Macaca mulatta: one gene and its partners. The protein of the gene in region 1 purifies or fractionates together with the protein of each later gene. This does not show direct contact. Links are inferred from orthologs where the notes say so. Each region holds a gene or a part of one and is shown in the gene's direction. Other genes may lie near its edges.

Region 1 (5,036 bases):
ACTAAGCAAAGCTAGTTAGAGAGAGTGGAGGGAAATGGTGGGAGACGTCAGAAAGGTGATGACAGCTGGCCTTTTTTCTTTTCTTTTTTTTTTTTTTTTTTTTTTGAGACAAGCTCTTGCTCTGTCGCCCAGACTCCCAGGCTGGAGTGCAGTGGCGCCATCCATGGCTCACTGCAGCTGTGACCTCGCTGGCTCAAGGTGATACTCCCACCTCAGCCTCCTGAGTAGCTGGGACTGCAAGCACTTGCCTCCACATCCAGCTAATTTTTATATTTTTTGTAGAGACAGGGTTTTGCCACGTTGCCCAGGCTGGTCTTGAACTCCTGGGCTAAAGTGATCCTACCGCCTTGGCCTCCCAAAGTGCTAGGATTACAGGCATGAGCCACTGTGCAGGCCAGTTTGTCTTTTAACTTGTTTATATTGTCTTGAAGTACACACATTTTGAAATTTTATTTAGCTAAATGTCTTATTCTCATTCCATATTCCAAGCTCATAAAGATACTCAGCTTTTTTCTGAGAGTTATAAAGTTTTGCTTTTCACATTTAGATCTTTAATCCACCTAGAATTGATTTTTCTTCCATGGTTAGAGGTAGGGGTCTAATTTTATAGTTTTCCATATGGATAAGCAGTAGTCCTACTACCACTTAGTGGATAATCCATTATTTCCCCACTGATTTGAAATGTCCCACACGCTGCATATCAACCTTCCATATATGTGTGGTCTGTTTGGGGGCTTTATATTGTGTTTCATTGATTGTCTATCTCCATAGTATACTTTTAATTACTACAGACTTACAGTCAGTCTTGATACTTAGTGTATTATATATTCTGGAACAAATGAATAACACAATCGAAAAATTACTTTGGGAAAAATATTGTTATGGTTGTCAACAGAGTAAACAGGTCAAAGGACAGAGTAAACCCAATAGGATTTATTTAAAGAAAAATGCAATAACCCAGATAGGCTATCACAAGGGCTTACAATAAAGTTATGGCAGTGCGAATGGAAAGAAAATAAGGAATCTAAAAGTAATTCCATGTAAAATATTAACAGGGTTTGTTGACTGATTGGATATAGAGATTAGGAGGGGGAAGACAATATATGGCTTTTAAGTGAAATGATAATGAGTTAGTTTTGTGACGTAGTGATGTATTAACAATGGACTCTATTAGGTAACAGGTCTGGGCCAGGGATATATATTTGGACATTGTCTAGTTAGAGGTGACCTGGAGGGGATGCAGAGGAGGAGCAAAGGTCTGGGCTTTGGGGAATTCTCTGATATAGGGCATAGAAGAAAGAAGAGGAAGGGAAATGGTAGGATAACCAACACAGAGCATTATAACCTTAAGAAATATATATATATAATATTACATATATAATATATATTATATTATATATAATATATATTATATTATATATAATATTACATATATAATATATATTATGTATAATATATATTATATAATATATAAATTTTATATATTTTATATATATATTGTTTCATATATGGATGATGTGGGTCGTATTGACACAACAGGTTTGAGATCCCCCATAGGTGTGACTGTGTTTTGTTTCTGTGGCCATCTTCAAAGTCCTCAGAACAATTTTGATGTCACAGGTGGCATTTAAACCCCATTCCTTGCTGGACGTAGTAGGGACGCCCCCAGTCCGTCGGGTCTCTCGCTGCAGTTCCGCAGGTTGGCCGCAGGGAGCGGAATCTGCGGCGGCCTGGAAAACTGGCGGGGGCGCGAGGCGCCGCTCTCTCTCGGGTCAGATTCTCAGCTCCCAGCTCCCCGCTACCGGCTCCCGGCTCCCGGCGCCCGGCGCCCGGCGCGGAGCGGTTCCTCAAACGACACGCAGCCGAGGTGGGTGGGTGGGTGTGGGGACTCGGGAGCCACTGTCGTCGGATCCGCCCGCAGTCCGCTGTCCCGCCGAGCCCGGAGGCCGCCTGGATGGAGCCGCCGCTCCCGGTCGGAGCCCAGCCCCTTGCCGTATCCGCCGGAGAGAAGGGGGAGGGGAGACCGCGCAGGGCCGCGGGTGGGGGTCGGGGGCCCTGCGGAACACGGCGGGGCGGGGCAACCGGGTGGCCCAGAGGCCAAGCAGAGTGGGGGAGGGGGCCGGCGCGGGAGGCGAAGCCGGGCGGGGCGGGTGAGGGCGGCCGGGGCGGGGGGTGGAAGACCCCCTTCGCCCCGCAGTGCACCACTCCTCCCCACCGCGCTTCCACAGGAGACCCTTGACTAGCGCCCGCATACTGTCGAGGGTATGGAGATGAAGGGTCCTCTCCGGGAGCCCTGCGCCCTGACCCTAGCCCAGAGGAACGGGCAATATGAGTAAGTAACCACCTGATTCCCACAGAGGAGGTGAGCCTGCCATTACCTCCCAACCCCAAACCGCGACGGGTCACCCACTGTCCTCCTACTAAGGCCACACGGGCAACAGGTTCAGGTCCAGGTGTGAAGTGCCAGTGCTCTCTAACCTCGGGGCTTTGTCCTCAACTTCCAAGCCTCTGGATCTTGCTTGGCAGTGTGGCTCAGTGGAAGGACTGAATGGGCGGGGAAGCAGGAAGCCTGGGTTCTTAGTTCCTGCCCCTGCAACTGACATGTGTTGTGTAACGTTGGGCAAGTCAATAAAGCTTTCTGGGCCAAAGTTAACTCTTCAGTTTAATAAAACCATTAACTGCCTTACCTTATAGCCTTTGGAGTTATAAGTGGGGGAAAAATAAATGCGAGAGTGGTTTACAAAACGTAAAAATGCTATGGAAATGCCTCATTGTTCACGTTACAGACTTGTCTTAACCCTATTCAGCTGGTTTCTCCAGTCTCCCTACCCCCTTATCCCACTTGTTTGAAGGCATATTCATTAATTCAGTAATGGTTTAGTGTAGGCCAGAAACTGCCTCACTTACTGATTTGACTGTTAGAAAATGTAATGAAATGTGTAGAGATAGAAATAACAGTATTTTATCAGTGTGTCACCTTCCTCTCTGCCTTAGACATAGGAACTCAGTAAATACTGTTGAATGATTGATCAAAAGATTATTTTGATAAGCTATCACCATAGCTGCTAACCTCTATTGTCACTAATGCCTCATCTCAAAAGTATCCATGGTGACCTTTACATATCATAGGTCCCTATCCCTGTGTGCCCAAGACACCTCCCTTGGATATTCACTGGCTTCTTGGCATAATATTCCTTCCCAGTTTAAAAATTGTTCACTTAAATCTTGCCATCTCCCAACATTGGGTTCTGCCTAAAACCAATTTCCTCAGTCCCCACTTTTAGATCCTCTGTGTCTATGCTGTCTGATTTACATGGAAGAAATCCCCACTGGCCCAACCTGCTCTTTTCTGAGACTATTGGTGCCACTGTAACTGGATGTCAGCTAGTTCTATGAAGTAGCTCCTTCCTAGGTCCTGCTTAGTCAGCTCTATTGGGAAGTTCATCAAACCCAGATTTCATCCAACCCTGGAAGACTAGTTTAATGAAACTAAATTCAGAATTTAATAAAACTAAATTCAGCAGAAAAGTGGAACACCACTAACATTTCCAAAGGCTAGAGTGGGTTAGAGAGAGGTGACCCTTGAGCAAACCAGTAAAACTTCTGTGCCTTGGTTTCCTCTAATGTAAAAACAAAAATCTGAAGATTGAATAGAATAGCTACATTACTGAGATGACCACAGCCCAGAAGGTGGTCCCTCGGATTAGTAGATTTGGAACTCTGTTGAGCTAATAAGGAAGTCTTGTGTTCCAATTCTGTGTAAGTTATGGGGGTATAGTTGGGGGTATATGTGGGGGTATGGGGTTGCTATATAACTAACACTAATATATAAATAACACTATAAAACTAACAACTATATAACTAACAACTAATATAGTTGTTGCTATATTAACAGTTTATAAACTATATAGTTTTAAATATATATAAACTATAGTTTATATATAAACTAACAACTGATACAGTTGTTGCTATATAACTAACACTCAATGACTGCTTATGTGCCAGGTACTGTTCTAAGCACTTTTCATTAGTTAGTTCATTTAATCCACGTGCGAGGGATAAAATAGTAATATCATTATCCCCCTTTTATAGATACAAAAATTGAAGCACAGACAGGTTAAGTCACTTGTTTGCAATTAGGAAGTAGAATACCTGAGATCTGATCCTATGTAACATGTCTCAGAATTACACTGAGAAATTTCTCTTGAAAGCATTTACTGGAGACACCTAATACCATAATACCATCTGTAATCCTCATGTTCTTGTCTCTCTGGTGCCTTCTCTGACTCGAGCGTCCAGAACTTTTTACTTTTGGCCTTTTTATCCTAGAACTTGAAGCCTGTCTTAAATCTTTACGTCTGTGGTTCCTACTGTCAACCATGGGAAATTTACTTGACCAAAATTACAATTAAAAATCAGGTTTTTTTGGAAACAGGGAATCAAACACTAAGATTCATCTTTTTCAAGGATAATAGATTATGAAAAAGCCTGTTTGACCTTTTACCTTCCTTGAACAAATCAAAGCGTTTCCTAGGGATAAGGCAGAGTTGGCATTCAGGATTTGTCACTCTTTTCTGTTTGACAACTACCAAATTCTGAATTCCATTGTTTTGCTGTATGCCAATTATTTCTAATCTTCATATTCTGAAATGAATAATTACACTCAGGTAGAATTTTTATGCTTATTCTTAGCCCTACTCTTTCATCGTAATTTAGTGGGTAACACGTAGTAAATACTCAATAAATGTTTGTGGAATTCACTTAAATTCTCAGTTTATTTCTGTTTTGTAATAGTTTTTAATAGTACTGTTCACATGAAGCTTTACTGCTAGATGTTCAACACCGTATCTTGTTTACATGTTTTGAGATTTTAGTGGTTTGTGTTTATCTTCCTCAAAGTAAGCTCTTCCTCCTGAACCTTTGATTTCTCAGCCTTTTATCTGGTTTCTGGTTTCCATCTGTGTTTATAGGACTCTCCACTCAACTCATGAACTTTCCAGATTGAAAGGGGCCTGCCCCATATTCCTGTAGTCATG
Region 2 (5,045 bases), on another chromosome or scaffold:
GTCTCAGCCTCCCAAGTAACTGGGATTACAGGTGTACGCAACCATGCCTGGCTATTTTTTTTATTTTTATTTTTTTGTATTTTTAGTAGAGACCAGGTTTCACCATGTTGGCCAGGCTGGTCTTGAACTCCTGACCTCAAGTGATTGACCCACCTCGGCCTCACGAAGTGCTGGAATTACAGGCGTGAGCCACTGCGCCCAGCCACCTGACCTATTTTCCTACTACTCTTCCGTTTGCTCACCTAGCTCTACTGGTCTCCTTGTTGTTCTTCAAACATGCCCAGGATGGCCCCATTTCAGGGCTTTTGTACTTGCTGTTCCCTCTGCTTGGGACATCCTTCTTCCAGATAGCACATGGCTCCCTCCCTCATTCCTCCAGGTCTCTGCTCCTCAGAGAGGCCTTCCCTGAGCACCTTGTCTAAAAGCTGCACTTCCAGCCTAGGCAAGATAGCAAGGCCCTCCATCTCTACAAAAAATTTACAAAAAATTAGCTGGGTGTGGTGGCGCACACCTGTAGTCCCAGCTACTTGGGAGGCTGAGGTGGGAGGATTGGTTGAACCCAGGAGTTCAGGTTACAACAAGCTGTGATTGTGCCACAGCACTCCAACCTGCGTCACAAACAAACAAACAAAAACAACAACAACAACAAAAACTGCACTCCCAGGCTTTCTGCCCCATTGCCTTAGCGTACAGTCCTAGCATGAATAACTTACAGAACTCATTTGTGTTGTCTTGATTCTTGGCTGCACCTACTTACCTGGTTCAGGAGCAGTGCCTGGCACACAGTAGGCACTTAATGAGAGGCTGAACGATGGAGAGCTGAGCCTGGTCTGACCTGTTCTTCCTGCTTTCAGGCCAGGACTGAATAGTGATTGGGAGGTGGCAGGTGGTGGAGAAGAGGCGTCAGGAACAGGAAGTAAGGAAGGGTTCAAGGAGCTGGAACTGTGTTATTTTGGGCAGGGCAAAAACAACAGCAATTCCTATTTCTTGAGAGCTTTCTTTTGTGCCGTGCACTTTACATATCATGATCGTCTTTATTTTCCGGATGAGGAAACGGAGGCTTAGAGAAGTGAAATGATTTCTCTAAGCTCACACAGTGTTCAGTGGCCTAGTGCGACTCGAACTCAAGTCTGCCCCATTCCAGAACTTTCTTCACCTGGAGCCAGGGGAAGCTTGCGAGGCGCCCTGTCCGTATGGAACAGTGCTTTATGGAAATGTACTGGATTCAGCTGTTTTCTGCCAATTACACATTTTTCAGGAGTTAGAGCTATTTTTCTAATATAACTGGGAGTTAAATTTGCTAAACCTGGCAACCCAGGTTTAGCAAATACTTTTATTATTTGTAGAGATGGTGGTCTCCCTATGCTGCCCAGGCTGGTCTTGAACTACTGGCTCCTGCCTTGTCCTAGGGGGAGTTTGGACTTAAGCCTAGGACTTCAGCGAATGGCCCGCCCAGGATCCCCAAATGCTTTTTCCAGGCTAATCCACGACCTGAGCCGGTCCTTACCTTTGGAAGCGCAATGAGCTTCCCGGGCTTGAATCCTCTTTTCTGGGCTAGGGCACTGGGGAGTCGAGAGCCACGAGCGGACCCTTTAAGAGTGATTTCGAGGGCGGGCTCACGGGGGCGTGGCGAATCCGGGGGCGTGCCGGTTCGGGGCCGGCCAATCGGGAGGCGGGAAGAACGCGAGGGCGGTCCCGGCGCGAGCAGGCTGGGAAGGGTTAAAGGGGCGCGCCCGTGGGTCGCGGACTGTCCGGTTGCTCCCGCCTCCTTCCGTCGGATCTGAGCTCTCCCGCGGCTGCGCCGCCCCGGCCGCCCAGGAGACAAAGCGCTGCTGCCGCGGTTGCCGCAACCGGGCCAGTCCTGGACCATGGCCGGGCCACCCCCCAGCCTCGCGCCTCCCGTCCCGTCGCCGCCCTAGGCCTGCGCTGCGAGGTAAGGCGGGCCTGGCGGGGGGACCTGCACCGGGACACGGGACCCGGGTCAGGCCGCCCTGGGCCTCGGGGTTCCCCGGCCACCTGGAGAGCGCGCTGCGGGGATCTTCCCTGCTGGGACTTTGCACCAGTGGTCACTTCTCCAGCTGCCGAGGCGAACTTGGCCGATGACCACCCTCCCCGCCCTCAGCCCATAGGGACGTCTGCCGCTGTGGGGGACTGCGGACAAGCCCCCTATTCTGCCGCTGATCACCCATCTGGGGCCCTGACTGTCCTTTAAGGAACTTAAGAGAGCTGCCACGCACAACACACAAAGGGACAGAGAGCAGCCGGGAGCAGGGCCACACCTGGAGAAGCAGCCCCTGCCGTGGGCAAGGGGGCTGCCTGTGTCTGGACGGCGGTGCTGGCACGTCCCTGGGGTCCCTGCTGGTGCGCTGACGGACAGGCTGGTCTTCAGTGTTCTTGGCACACATGTTTTTCAGCCTGTGCCTGCCACACCCTCTTCCCCACGCCCGCTGCTGGGGGACACTGAGGGCAGTTGGATTCAACCCCAGGACCTGTGGTTCTGGCTTCTTTCGTTAAAGTGAGTGCCAAAATGCCATGCTTCAGTCTCCCCAGAGACCTGGGTTCCAGGCCAGCTGTGCCCCTGGAGATCTTGGATGAATTATTTGCCTTTTTGACAGCTCTTTCCCTGAAAGCATTTTGCAAAATGACTCTTCAGGAGTAAATTCACTCAGCCCATAGAGGGATGGAAGTTAACATCCCCATTTTGCAGATGAGGCTGAGAAAACCCCGACTCACAGCAGCTAATATTTGCAATCCATTTCCCATAGTTTGCCAGTGGGTTTTCCTTCTTTTAGCTCATGGACCCTTGCCACACAGCCCATTTTAACAGATGAGGAAACTGAGGCTTGGAAAGGTGAAACGACTTGTCCAAGGCCTTCCAGCCTGGACCTGCAGAGGCAGGAACTTTGCCTTGGGAGCAGCACGGGGCCAGGCTCCCTCCAGCTTCCTGTCTGGCCCTGGGCTGTTGAATCAGCAGCAGTGCCCACAGCGGACTCTGAACTTCTTGGAAAACAGTGTGGGGAGATAAGGCAGGGACCAGGCCTTCGCTCCAGGCAAGGCTGGAGCCTGTGCCCCTGCAGTTTCCTGCCTTCCCTGTTCTGGTGGAGGCAGGGGTCATGGGCAGAGCTGGGTCCTGTGCCTGCTGGTGACTTTGAAGCAGTTTGGCCTCCATCTGGGCAGTGCAGGGAGGTGGTTTGCTGAGCAGGAGGGAAGTTGCTATTCCTTTGGCCTTGATGGGGTGGAGAGACCCCAAGATTGGCTCCTTTATTTGGGTGGCTTGCCTGGAGCATGTGATTCTGGGCACAGTTGTATGCCTCTGGCCAACTTATTGAACCTCCCTGTGTCCATTTCCACATCTGTGAATGTGGGGTGAGACCCCTTGTCATGGGGCCGTTGAGAAGTTTCAGAAGATACCTGCAGAATGAATCAAACAGCTATGTGAGCACCTACTGCATGCCTGGCACTGGAATTCACACCACAAACGCCCCAGCTTTCCTAGAGCAGGCAAAAATGACCCAGGTATTAATAATTTCAGGTGGAGGCACAGGAGAGGGACTGGAGGGCCTCTTATGCATAGGGTGGCCAGGGACCACCTCTCCGAGGAGGTGACAGCTAGGCTGAGACCAAAGGATGGGGAACTGGCCTTGTGAAGACCTGCAAGCAGACAGCCGGGACCAAGTCTTGGAGGTGGGGATGTATCTGGTGTATTTAAGGAACAGAAAGGAGGCCAGGATGGCTGGAGCTGAGTGAACAAGGGGGAAAGAGGTAGGAAAAGGGAACTTGGAAGCCATGGGAGGCTTGGACTGTTTTTTGTTTTTTTTTTTTTTTTTTTTTTTTTTTTTTTGAGGCAGGATCTCACTATGTCGCCCAGGCTGGAGTGCAGTGGCATGATCACTCCCAAGTTCAAGGGGTCCTTCCATGTTAGCCTCCCAGACAGCTAGGACTAGAGGCTTGTGTCAACATGCCCAGCTATTTTTTTTCTATTTTTTGTGGAGGTAGGGTCTTGCTGTGTTGTCCAGGCTGGTCTCTAACTCAAGCGATCCTCCGGCCTCAGCCTCCCAAAGTGCTAGCATTACAGGTGTGAGCCACCGCACCCTGCCTAAGGATTTAATTTTATGCTGAGAGAAGTAGGGAGCCATGGGAGGGTTTAGAGCAGAGGAGGAGTGTGATTGGACTTAATTTTCACAGGATCCCTCTGTGGGGAGTGGATTTCAGTGTGGATCGGAGAAGAGCCTAGGAAGGAGGCTTGGATCTTACCTTAAGGAACATGGATGGGGGGGCAAGGAGACTTGTGTGGAGGCTACAGCAGCTGTTCCAGTGAATGGTGATGGGGCCTAGAATGGGGAGGTGGAGTGGACAGATTAGGCAACTGATTTGGAAGACGCTGGAGAGGCGGGATCAACTGGACTTGATATGTGATCAGATGTGGGGGTGAGAGGGAAACCAAGGGCCATTTGCTGAGATCAGAAGTATGACACGGGGACGTTTGGGGAAAAGCCAAGAAGAATGTGAACTGCAGCTGTGCTCAGCAGGCGTTGTGTGCCTGGCCCCGTGCTCCGCAAAGTCCGTGTAGTCACTGTATCATTGTCACAACAGCCCTGACTTAGGCACTGTTACGATCTCATTTTACAGATGCAGAAACGGAGGCCCAGAGAGGTTAATAGCCTGCCTGGGGTTCCCCAGCCCAGATGCTGCAGAGCTGACATTTGAATCCAGAGAAGAGCAAGCTGAGGCTGGAGCTGAACAGAGGGCAGGGAGGCGAGTGGTGGCCTGAGAGGTAGGAGCGGAATTGGGCAAGTGGGGCGGGAGGGTCCTGTGAGAACTGGGGCCAGCATCCACATGGGAGTTGATGGGTGGTGGTGTGGGGAATGCGTGAATCCCTGTGGCTTAGAGAGGGACAGCTGTATCTGAGAGGCAGGGTGGGGATTCAACACCTGGAGACTTTGGGGGCTCTGGCCTTGGCCCCCCACTAGGTCAGGACAGACTGACCTCAGTTTCTTTTTTTAAGTTCCGTGATACATGTGCAGAACATGCAGGTTTGTCACATA
Region 3 (4,280 bases), on another chromosome or scaffold:
GGTGTGCACCACCTTGCGCAACTAATTTTTTTAATTTAGTTGAGACAGGGTCTTGCTGTGTTGCGTAGGTTGGTTTCCAACTTCTGCCCTCAAGCGATCCTCCTGCTTTGGCCTCCCAAAGTGCTGGGATTACAGGCATGAGCCACTGCACCTGGCTAACAGTTTTCTCTTTTTTTTTGAGATGGAGTCTCGTTCTGTCCCCCAAACTGAAGTGTAATGGTGCGATCTCGGCTCACTGCAACCTCCGCCTCCCGGGTTCAAGCTTTTCTTCTGCCTCAGTCACCCGAGTAGCTGGGAGAGTACAGGCGCGCACCATGCATGGCTAATTTTTGTAATTTTAGTGGAGATGGGGTTTTAGCATGTTGGTCAGGCTGGTCTCGAACTCCTGACCTCGTGATCTGACTGCCTTAGCCTCCCAAAGTGTTGGGATTACAGGCGTGAGCCACCGTGCCCAGTCCCAACAGTTTTTTTTTTTTTTTTTTTTTTTTTGAGACAGAGTCTCGCTCTGTTGCCCAGGCTGGAATGCAGTGGCCGGATCTCAGTTCACTGCAAGCTCCACCTCCCAGGTTTGCACCGTTCTCCTGCCTCAGCCCCTTGAGTAGCTGGGACCCGCCACCTCGCCTGGCTAGTTTTTTGTGTTTTTTAGTAGAGACGGGGTTTCTCCGTGTTAGCCGGGATGGTCTCAATCTCCTGACCTCGTGATTCACCTGTCTCGGCCTCTTGAAGTGCTGGGATTACAGGCTTGAGCCACCGCGCTCGGCCCCAACAGTTTTTTTAAACCCAGAACTATAATGCAATAATGTTAGCATTTGTTTTTGGAATTTGAGCCTAACTAGTTGAAAGGCAGTTAAGTTGCTCTTAAAATACATTTTATAAAAGTGTTTGGAATCATCTTCCTTACATTGTTTTCTCTAGGATGAAGACAACACCTGGCCAGGCATGGTGGCTCATGCCAGTAATGCCAGCACTTTGGGAGAATTGCTTGAGTCCAGGAATTTGAGACCAGCCTGGGCAATATAGCAAAACTCCGTCTCTACAAAAAAGAAAAAATTAGCTGAGTGTGGTGGCATGTACCTATAGTCCCAGCTCCTCAGGAGGCTCAGGTGGGAGGATTGCTTGAGCTGGGGAGGTTGAAGCTGCAGTGAGCCATGATCATGCCACTGCACTCAGCCTGGATGACAGATCTGAGACCCTGCTTGAAGGGGGGAAGAAAAAGACACCTGCTTGGGATAATTAAAGTTCTGTCTTGACTGGTAGTTATTTGAATCAGGTCCCTCCAATGCTAATTTAATCATGGTAGAATGTGCAAGCAAGTGAGTTTGTCTTACATGGAAGAGTTCTGTGTTCAAGGGCTTTAGGCCAGTGACATTCCTCAACATGGTGCTAAAGGCGGTAGGGAATGTGAAAAGTATGACATACTTCCTGCTCTCAACAGCTTGTAATTTTAGTATTATCGTAAGCTCAGTTGTAGGTACTACCTTCTTTTCTGGACTTCCAGGTACTTATTACTGTGCAATATAGTGGTATGAGTTGAGGACTAATGTTTCTATATCACATCCTGATAATCTCCACAGTTATGAAAACTAAACTATTTCCCCTCCCTCCTACACTTTTCCCCAACTTTATTTTAATGGAATTGTTTGGATTTCTTGATTGTTTTGTAATAGTGGGACACAGCAGGCCAGGAAAGATTTCGAACAATCACCTCCAGTTATTACAGAGGAGCCCATGGCATCATAGTTGTGTATGATGTGACAGATCAGGTAAGTTCCAAGAGGAGATTGTGTTACAGTGACCAAGTAGGAAGTCATTATTCGATTAATGTAAGATTCATTTACTACTTCGCATATAAGCCATCAGTATTAACTTTATGGCAGAAAACTTTGTCCACTCAAATATAAATGTGAATCACTTAAAAGACATTTTTTTTCCTGTAATAAATAGAACATTAGTAATAAGTTTTACATTTGCTTTCAAGGGATTCTGGTTGTATTTATTATGAACTAAATAACTGATCAAATAGCCAAGACTCTAACATATAGGCAAGAGTTTGTAGGGAATCGTGAGTTGCTTGACTTATATTGTATTCTTGGTGTTGTTAACAGGAATATGGCCTGGTAATCAGAATTGCTAAAAGAGGGATTTGCGGGTCTCTGCCTGTGGAGGATGTGGTTCAGAAAAAAAGGATTTGAATAGGATAAGCTGTAGGAGGATCTTAGTATGAGAATGAGTATCTGAAGATTAGCTGTGAGAGAGGGCAGGGTGATGGAGGGAACAATCTGGGACAGTGAAGCATGTACTCCAGGGGCCATAACTGTTTTTTTGTTATTATTATTTTTAATCAGAAACTTAGATTTCGATGTCCTTTCTATCAAAGGACAGAAGAGAAACATTCAAAATTGGAATTTATTTTTCTTTTGGCAAATGTTAAATCTCACCTCTAATATGAAATCATAGCTAATTAGGAGATAACTTACATGTAAACATTTTGATTCAGTGCCATTAGAAGTGCTGGGTGGGTGATATCTGCAAGAGAAAAAAATGATGCTAGTTTAAAAAAATCTCTAGTCATATTGCCGTGAAATACTTTTAAATGAAAACTTTCCTCCTGTAAATATGACTGTGGATAAGAAAATAAGTATATTTAATAACATTTTGACATGTCTAGTAGTAACAGTAGGTCATCTTATTCATAAACCAAAATTTTATCAAATTTCAAGCCGGGTGCAGTGGCTCACGCCTGTAATCCCCACACTTTGGGAGGCCGAGCCGGGTGGATCACCTGAGGCCAGGAGTTAGAGACCAGGCTGGCTAACATGACAAAACCCCATCTCTACTAAAAGTACAAAAATTAGGCCGGGCGCGGTGGCTCAAGCCTGTAATCCCAGCACTTTGGGAGGCCGAGACGGGCGGATCACGAGGTCAGGAGATCGAGACCATCCTGGCTAACACGGTGAAACCCCGTCTCTACTAAAAAATACAAAGAACTAGCCGGGCGAGGTGGCAGGAGAATGGCGTAAACCCGGGAGGAGGCTGAGGCAGGAGAATGGCGGAAACCCGGGAGGCGGAGCTTGCAGTGAGCTGAGATCCGGCCACTGCACTCCAGCCTGGGTGACAGAGCCAGACTCTGTCTCCAAAAGAAAAAACAAAAAAACAAACCAAAAATTAGCCAGGCGTGACAAAAATTAGCCAGGTGTGGGGGCGCGTGCCTGTAATCCTAGCAGTCACTTGGGAGGCTGAGACAGGAGAATCACTTGAGCCCAGGAGGCAGAGGTTGCAGTGAGCCGAGATCGTGCCATTGCACTCCAGCCTGGATGACAGAACAAGACTTTGTCTCCCCCCCCCCCCCAAAAAAAAAAATTATCAAATTTCAAAACCAGGTTTTGTAGTACATTTAAATTGCATATTCCAAAGCAGTTGGGTTTGCCTGAGTTGCAGTTTAATATTAAGCTGTCCCTTTCAAATAAGGTATTTTCATCATTAAGCCTGTAAATTCTAGTTTGTCATCATTTAGATATTTATAGTCATTTTAATATATCTGTTTACGGCCAGCCACAGTGGCTAACACCTGTAAACTCAGCATTTTTGAGGCCAAGGTGGGCCGATTGTTTGAGCTCAGGAGTTTGAGACCAGCCTGGGCAACATAGTGAAACCCCATCTATACAAGAAGTCCAAAAAAAAAAAATAGCCAGGTGTGGTGGCATGTGCCTGTAGTCCCAGCTATCCCGGAGGCTGAAGCGGGAGGATGGCTTGAGCTTGGGAGGTCGAGGGTGCAGTGAGCTGTGATTGTGCCACTGCGCCCTGGCCTAGGTAACACAGCAAGACCCTGTCTCAAAAAAAAAAAAAAAAAATCCCCTTCACTCCTTAGCAGTGGTTATTTTGTACCTAGAGTTGTCTCACTAGCTCTTTGTTATTTGTCTGTTAGGTCAGGAAGGTTGTTTCCATTTATTCCAGAACCATATTATCAAACTTTCAAATGTCTTTTTAGGAGTCCTTCAATAATGTTAAACAGTGGCTGCAGGAAATAGATCGTTATGCCAGTGAAAATGTCAACAAATTGTTGGTAGGGAACAAATGTGATCTGACCACAAAGAAAGTAGTAGACTACACAACAGCAAAGGTATGTTTAAAGTTTAATTTTCATACTGAATTTGAAGGTGTTGAATTATGTATGGGCTCTGCAGTAATACTAAGGCCACAGCCACCTTAACTTTTAAAAATATGTGCACTAGAATACTGTGACAGTGACAATTCGTGTAACATCTGTTTGGATCCAATGA
Region 4 (5,075 bases), on another chromosome or scaffold:
CATGGTCAAAAACTCTGACAACAGGATTTGGCGAAACTTTCTCAGAAGTTTTCTAGGCATGTATAACACATTTCCTTTTTTTTTTTTTTTAACATAAATGTACCATACATCATGTTCTTTTATCTTTCTTAACACCTCTTAAAATATTATTTTCTTACGGGCTTTGTAGTATTTTGTTTGAATGGATGTATCTTATTTACTGAAAGAGTCCTGTTAACAAACACATAGGTTGTTTTCTGGTTGGAGTTAGGACCGAACAATCTTTGATGAACATCTTTGATCACTTGTACAAGTTTGACAGGATAAACTCCTAGGAGGGCTGCTGGGTCCAAGGCTGTGGTCATTTTCGATTTGAGTAAGTATTACCAAAAGCGCAAGTTATTTAAGTGAGCCCTGATTCGCTCTTCTTTGTAAACAGTGGACAATAATGAGCTTCTCAAACGTTTCTTATAAGGATTAAATGAGATGGGGATGTAAAAGCCCAGTATATAGCAAGCAGGCTGTCAATGAATATTGGCCTCCATCTTTTTTTATGGAGAAAGACAACTATTTATGCATATTATGACGACTATAGCTTAACCATGAGCTCAACAAACACAAAAATTCACAGAAAATTCTGCGATACCGTATCTATTTTAAACCACATTATTGAATGTAACTAGTGAAACCTCAGGTCAAATAGAATGTATTTAAGGAGACACAAACTTGACATTAACTCTAAATACCAGAGTATTGAAGATTTGATAGTTGTCTCTTCTTACAAATATATCCCTCATAATAAAAAAGCACTCCACTAATATGCCAATTATGATACATCTTCCAGTTGTGTTTTGTCCTTGAGCGAAAAATCTTGCTGCTCAATTCAAGTCATTCGTTTATTCATAACACCCATATATATATCTCCAACTCTGGAGAGAAACACTGACAGAAAGATGGAAAATTTTAGAGCCCTCATTTCCACTTCAGAGAGCCTGTTGTCCCCTAAACCTCTTGGGCCCTCGGGCATTTTTAAACTTATCAAGATTCCAGAATGAGGTTAATGGGACGTCACAAAACGAACCCCCCACCGTCCCGTCCCAGGGGCTCCAAGCCAGGACCCCAGCCTGAGGGAGCCTCCGGGCAGGAGAAAGAGGCCCAGGAAGCCATTGCTCCGTTCCTTCCCGGCTGTTTACGTGGCACTCAAAGTACTCGGCCAAGGGCACGGCGACCCCGCAACACCCTCGGCGTGGGGCAAAGACAGCGGGGTTGCGGGGCTCCTGTCTGCCGGGAGCGTCGAGAGTTCCTGCCCCCCCGCCCGCCTCATGCACGGAAAGCCCCGAGCCACGGCGTGCGGCGCTGGCCGAGCGTGAACCGGAGTCGGGTTCGGCTCCCCCGAGCGGCTGTGCGGGCCGCGGAGCGCTTCCTGTGGGGCGGCCACGCAGGGTGCGGGCCATGGCCCGGGGCGCCTGTCCGGATCCCGCCGCCGCGCGGGACGCAGCCCCCGTCCTCGACCCAGGGCGCCCGGCGGCGGCGGCAGCGACTGCCCGGGGCGGCGGCGCGGCGCGGCGCAGCGCGGGGGCGGCCAGGAGGCGAGGAGGCCGGGCCGCGGCCGAGGGCCCAGGGCGCGCTTCCGCCGGGCGCCGCGCGCGCCGCGGTAAAAGGGAGGCTCGGCCGGCAGGGGCGGGGGCCGCGCAGCCGGGGACTTTCAGGAACTGCAGGAGCGGGCGGCGCGGGAGTAGCCGAGCGCCCAGCGGCTGGGCCTGAGCGTCGAGACTCGGGGCCGAGGCGGAGGAGCGGCCGCCGCGCCGGGGCCCAGCCGGAGCCGCCGCCCTCGCCCTTGCCTTCGTCCGCGCGGCTCAGAATCACCATCCGCGGCGCGGGAGACAAGCCGGCCGTCCCGGGCCGGGGGACCCGCCCGCCATGGCCACCAAGGTGAGGGGCGCGCAGCGCAGGCCCGGCCGGTCGCTCAGGCCCGCGGCGGCGCGGGGACGGTCGGGGCTGGGGCCGCGGGGAGGGTTGGGGCCGGGGGCGGCCGAGGGGCCACTCTGCGTCCTCGGTGGGGTCCCCGGGCGGGTCCGCGGCCCAGCCAGTCCCTTCTGGGCATGGGTGCGGCGGACCGTGCAGACGGCCGGGATCGCGCCGGGGGAGGGCGTCGGGTCTGGGCGCGGGTTGGGACCCCGGGTGCAGCGACGTTTGGGAAGTTTGCACCTGAGCTTGGGCTGCGGCGGGCTCGCCGGGAGGGGCCGCGAGAGCGGGACGGAAACTTCCCGCAGCCCGGGGAGGCCCCCGAGGCGACAGGCTCTCTGTGGCGTCCGGTGTCCCCGCGGCGTCTGGCGTCCCCGCCGCCCCCACGTCCCCTCCCGCTGCCGCCCAGGGGACCCTCGGCCCCGTGGGGCGGGTGGGGGTCGAGACCTCAGCAGAGAGGACGCTGCGCTTCCCGTCCCGGCCTGCGGGAGCTCGCGGCCGGGGAGAGACAGAGGCTGGGACACCCCGCGCCCCTCTGCCTTCTCTGCTGTTATTTTTTTCTTTTGTTTTGCTACCTGCTCAGTGTGAATGGTATTGCCGGCATGAATAAAATATCAAGAGGGAAATGACTGTGCTTTCGATTACGTGTTTGCCTAAAAAAGGCCCAGGCCCGAATTACGTGGTGGAACTTTGACTCCTGCTTGGTAATTGGCTAGGAGCGGTGGTTTGCTTGTTTTGCATTATTGTTTATGAAATTAGCAGTCACTCTTTGCTACCTGAATCTTCAAAAGCCACCCTCCCCCACTCCTTTTCCTTGGGCGTTTTCAGTAGTTACTTGGTGTAAAATAGTCACTGGGGAGTCATGGTCGCGGAAGGAGGACCTGGGGGAGGAGGCTCTGTACCTGAACCATTAACTGTTCTGTGATACGCTGTGAGGAGTAGGTTTACTTTTGCACTTAGTTTTTGTAGTGTCACTTTATTAGCATCAGCACCCCTTTCCCTATTTTTTTTTTTTTTTTTTGAGATCTCTGACTACTTTTGGGTTGCTAGAAACGTTATTTTTTATATTTCGATAGCTATTTGCTTTTTTTGGTGGAGTGTTAAGGTAGGAAATGGTAAGAAATGTGAAATCTGTTTAAAAGATCAGCGTTGCTTGACTTCGGTCTGCTAGATGTCCTGTGGTAAATTTTGTGCTCTGAATCCATCTAGGTGCAGCGTTTATAGAGAAGTGGGGATTCTCCTCCAGGGAACCTGTTGCTGCTGTTACTGAAATAATTACCTTCTTGTTAATATATTATTGCCTGTGCTGTGCTTTGGTTTTATTAATGTGATAGAACTTGCCACCTTTTGAACTTATTAATTTTGTGTTGACCTTTTTAAAAATAAAACTTAGGCCAAGGATTTCTAAGGAAATTTGATTTTGAGGTTTGTTGCCAGACACTCCAGAAATTACCAGTTACACATCCTAGTACACGCTCATCTTGCAACCTTAACAGCGGTTTATAGGCTGGGCGCGGCGGCTCACTCCCACCTGTAATTCCAGCACTTTGGGAGGCCGCGGTGGGCGGTTCACCTGAGGTCGGAGCTCCATACAGCCTGGCCAATATGGTGAAACTCCGTCTCTACTAAAAATACAAAAATTAGCTGGGCGTGGTGGCGCGCGCCTGTAGCCCCAGCTGCTCCGGGAGGCCGAGGCAGGAGAATCGCTTGAACCCGGGAGGCGGAGGTTGCAGTGAGCCAAGATGGCGTCGCTGCACTCCGGCCTGGGCTACAGAGCGAGGAGACTCCGTTTGAAAAAAAAAAAAAAAACCAAGGCGGTGTATGACATAGAGATCTGTCCAGTGGTGGTCTGTGTGTTTTTACACTCTGGTCTACTGAGGCATGTTACCTGTACTGTCCTTTAAGTGGAATGCAGTTTAGCAACTAGTGCAGGTATACGTAGTGAAATTTTTATTTCATAGTTAAGCCTGAACTTAATTTTTTTTTTCAAAAAATTGAAAAGTGGTTCTTGTATATTAATCTTGAATTGCATGTGTCTTTGCTTAAACACGAGCCTTAAAACATGCATAAGCACTTCCTACTTCGTTATCTACACCACTCCGAAGGCAAATTCCAGTAATTCTGTTAGTTTCTTTCGCTGTCTAATCACTGTTCCACATGGTGCTCATTTCCATGTCTACATTGTGACAGACCATTTCCATTTTAAGAAAAAGAAGAGCAATGAAGCAGTTGTTAGAAGAAGACCCTTCCTTAGTTTTCTGACATCCTGGTGATACTTGGGTCAAACCAAAGTCTCATTTTTTAATTGTCCCCAGAGAGACAAGTTGCTACTTTCCTCACTTGCCCCATATACACACCCCTTCCCCACACCTGAGTAGTTCTGTTTTTTTTCTTCGTCTTCTTCAAGGGGTGGGGAGAATGTGCTTAGTAGTAATGACTAATTTTTAATAAATGGCTCCAGTGGCACTCAGGCTGTTGCTGTAAGTATTAAGTGATGAAAAGTAAATTCAGGATCTGGATATTTTAGGGGATGTTCATTTCCCTTTGAATTTACCAGAAACTTGGCTATAGTATCTTCAGATACAATTTTCTTGTTTGTTCTTAAGTATTTTCTTAAGGATGTGGTTATCACTGAACTATTGGCATTTTAAAAAACTGCACTAGTATATTTTACAATAGAAAAGGAAATTATCATTTAGAAGAAGTAGTTTAGTTGAACAGTCCTTCACTGCTAAGGAAAGTTAATCAGGGCCAGGTGCGGTGGCTCACACCTGTAATCCCAGCACTTTGGGAAACCGAGGCAGGCGGATCACGAGGTCAGGAGGTCGAGACAATCCTGGCTAACACAGTGAAACTCCGTCTCTACTAAAAGTACAAAAAAAAAAAAAAAATAGCTGGGCGTGGTGGCGGTCACCTGTAGTTCTAGCTACTCGGGAGGCTGGGGCAGGAGAATGGTGTGAACCCGGGAGGCAGAGCTTGCAGTGAGCCAAGATCGCGCCACTGCACTCTAGCCTGGGTGACAGAGTGAGACTCTGTCTCCAAAAAAAAAAAAAAAAAAAAAAAGAAAGTTAATCAGTAACTGCACATTTTAAAGGGATTATCTGTTTTCTATTTCTAATCCTTACTCAGTA

Evidence for each region.
Region 2: the proteins of OCRL (region 1) and PHETA1 purify together in Homo sapiens (co-immunoprecipitation; 5 studies listed by BioGRID and IntAct, counting the BioPlex papers as one, with this or other methods). This does not show direct contact. The link is inferred for Macaca mulatta from reciprocal best matches to the Homo sapiens genes OCRL and PHETA1.
Region 3: the proteins of OCRL (region 1) and RAB1A purify together in Homo sapiens (co-immunoprecipitation; 3 studies listed by BioGRID and IntAct, with this or other methods). This does not show direct contact. The link is inferred for Macaca mulatta from reciprocal best matches to the Homo sapiens genes OCRL and RAB1A.
Region 4: the proteins of OCRL (region 1) and SNX9 purify together in Homo sapiens (co-immunoprecipitation; 3 studies listed by BioGRID and IntAct, with this or other methods). This does not show direct contact. The link is inferred for Macaca mulatta from reciprocal best matches to the Homo sapiens genes OCRL and SNX9.

The regions. Positions count from the first base shown.
Region 1 is NC_133426.1:136,000,000-136,005,035, forward strand, and holds the start of OCRL (inositol polyphosphate 5-phosphatase OCRL), read left to right. Parts: upstream 1-1,954; coding exon 1,955-1,993; intron 1,994-2,031; exon of another isoform or gene 2,032-2,249; coding exon of another isoform or gene 2,250-2,252; coding exon 2,253-2,332; intron 2,333-5,036. UniProt on the Homo sapiens protein: Catalyzes the hydrolysis of the 5-position phosphate of phosphatidylinositol 4,5-bisphosphate (PtdIns(4,5)P2) and phosphatidylinositol-3,4,5-bisphosphate (PtdIns(3,4,5)P3), with the greatest catalytic activity towards PtdIns(4,5)P2.
Region 2 is NC_133416.1:118,558,713-118,563,757, reverse strand, and holds the start of PHETA1 (sesquipedalian-1), read left to right. Parts: upstream 1-1,690; 5' UTR 1,691-1,933; intron 1,934-4,629; 5' UTR 4,630-4,774; intron 4,775-5,045. UniProt on the Homo sapiens protein: Plays a role in endocytic trafficking. Required for receptor recycling from endosomes, both to the trans-Golgi network and the plasma membrane.
Region 3 is NC_133418.1:59,625,467-59,629,746, forward strand, and holds part of RAB1A (ras-related protein Rab-1A), read left to right. Parts: intron 1-1,667; coding exon 1,668-1,763; intron 1,764-3,988; coding exon 3,989-4,120; intron 4,121-4,280. UniProt on the Homo sapiens protein: The small GTPases Rab are key regulators of intracellular membrane trafficking, from the formation of transport vesicles to their fusion with membranes.
Region 4 is NC_133409.1:76,689,116-76,694,190, forward strand, and holds the start of SNX9 (sorting nexin-9), read left to right. Parts: upstream 1-1,687; 5' UTR 1,688-1,899; coding exon 1,900-1,911; intron 1,912-5,075. UniProt on the Homo sapiens protein: Involved in endocytosis and intracellular vesicle trafficking, both during interphase and at the end of mitosis. Required for efficient progress through mitosis and cytokinesis. Required for normal formation of the cleavage furrow at the end of mitosis.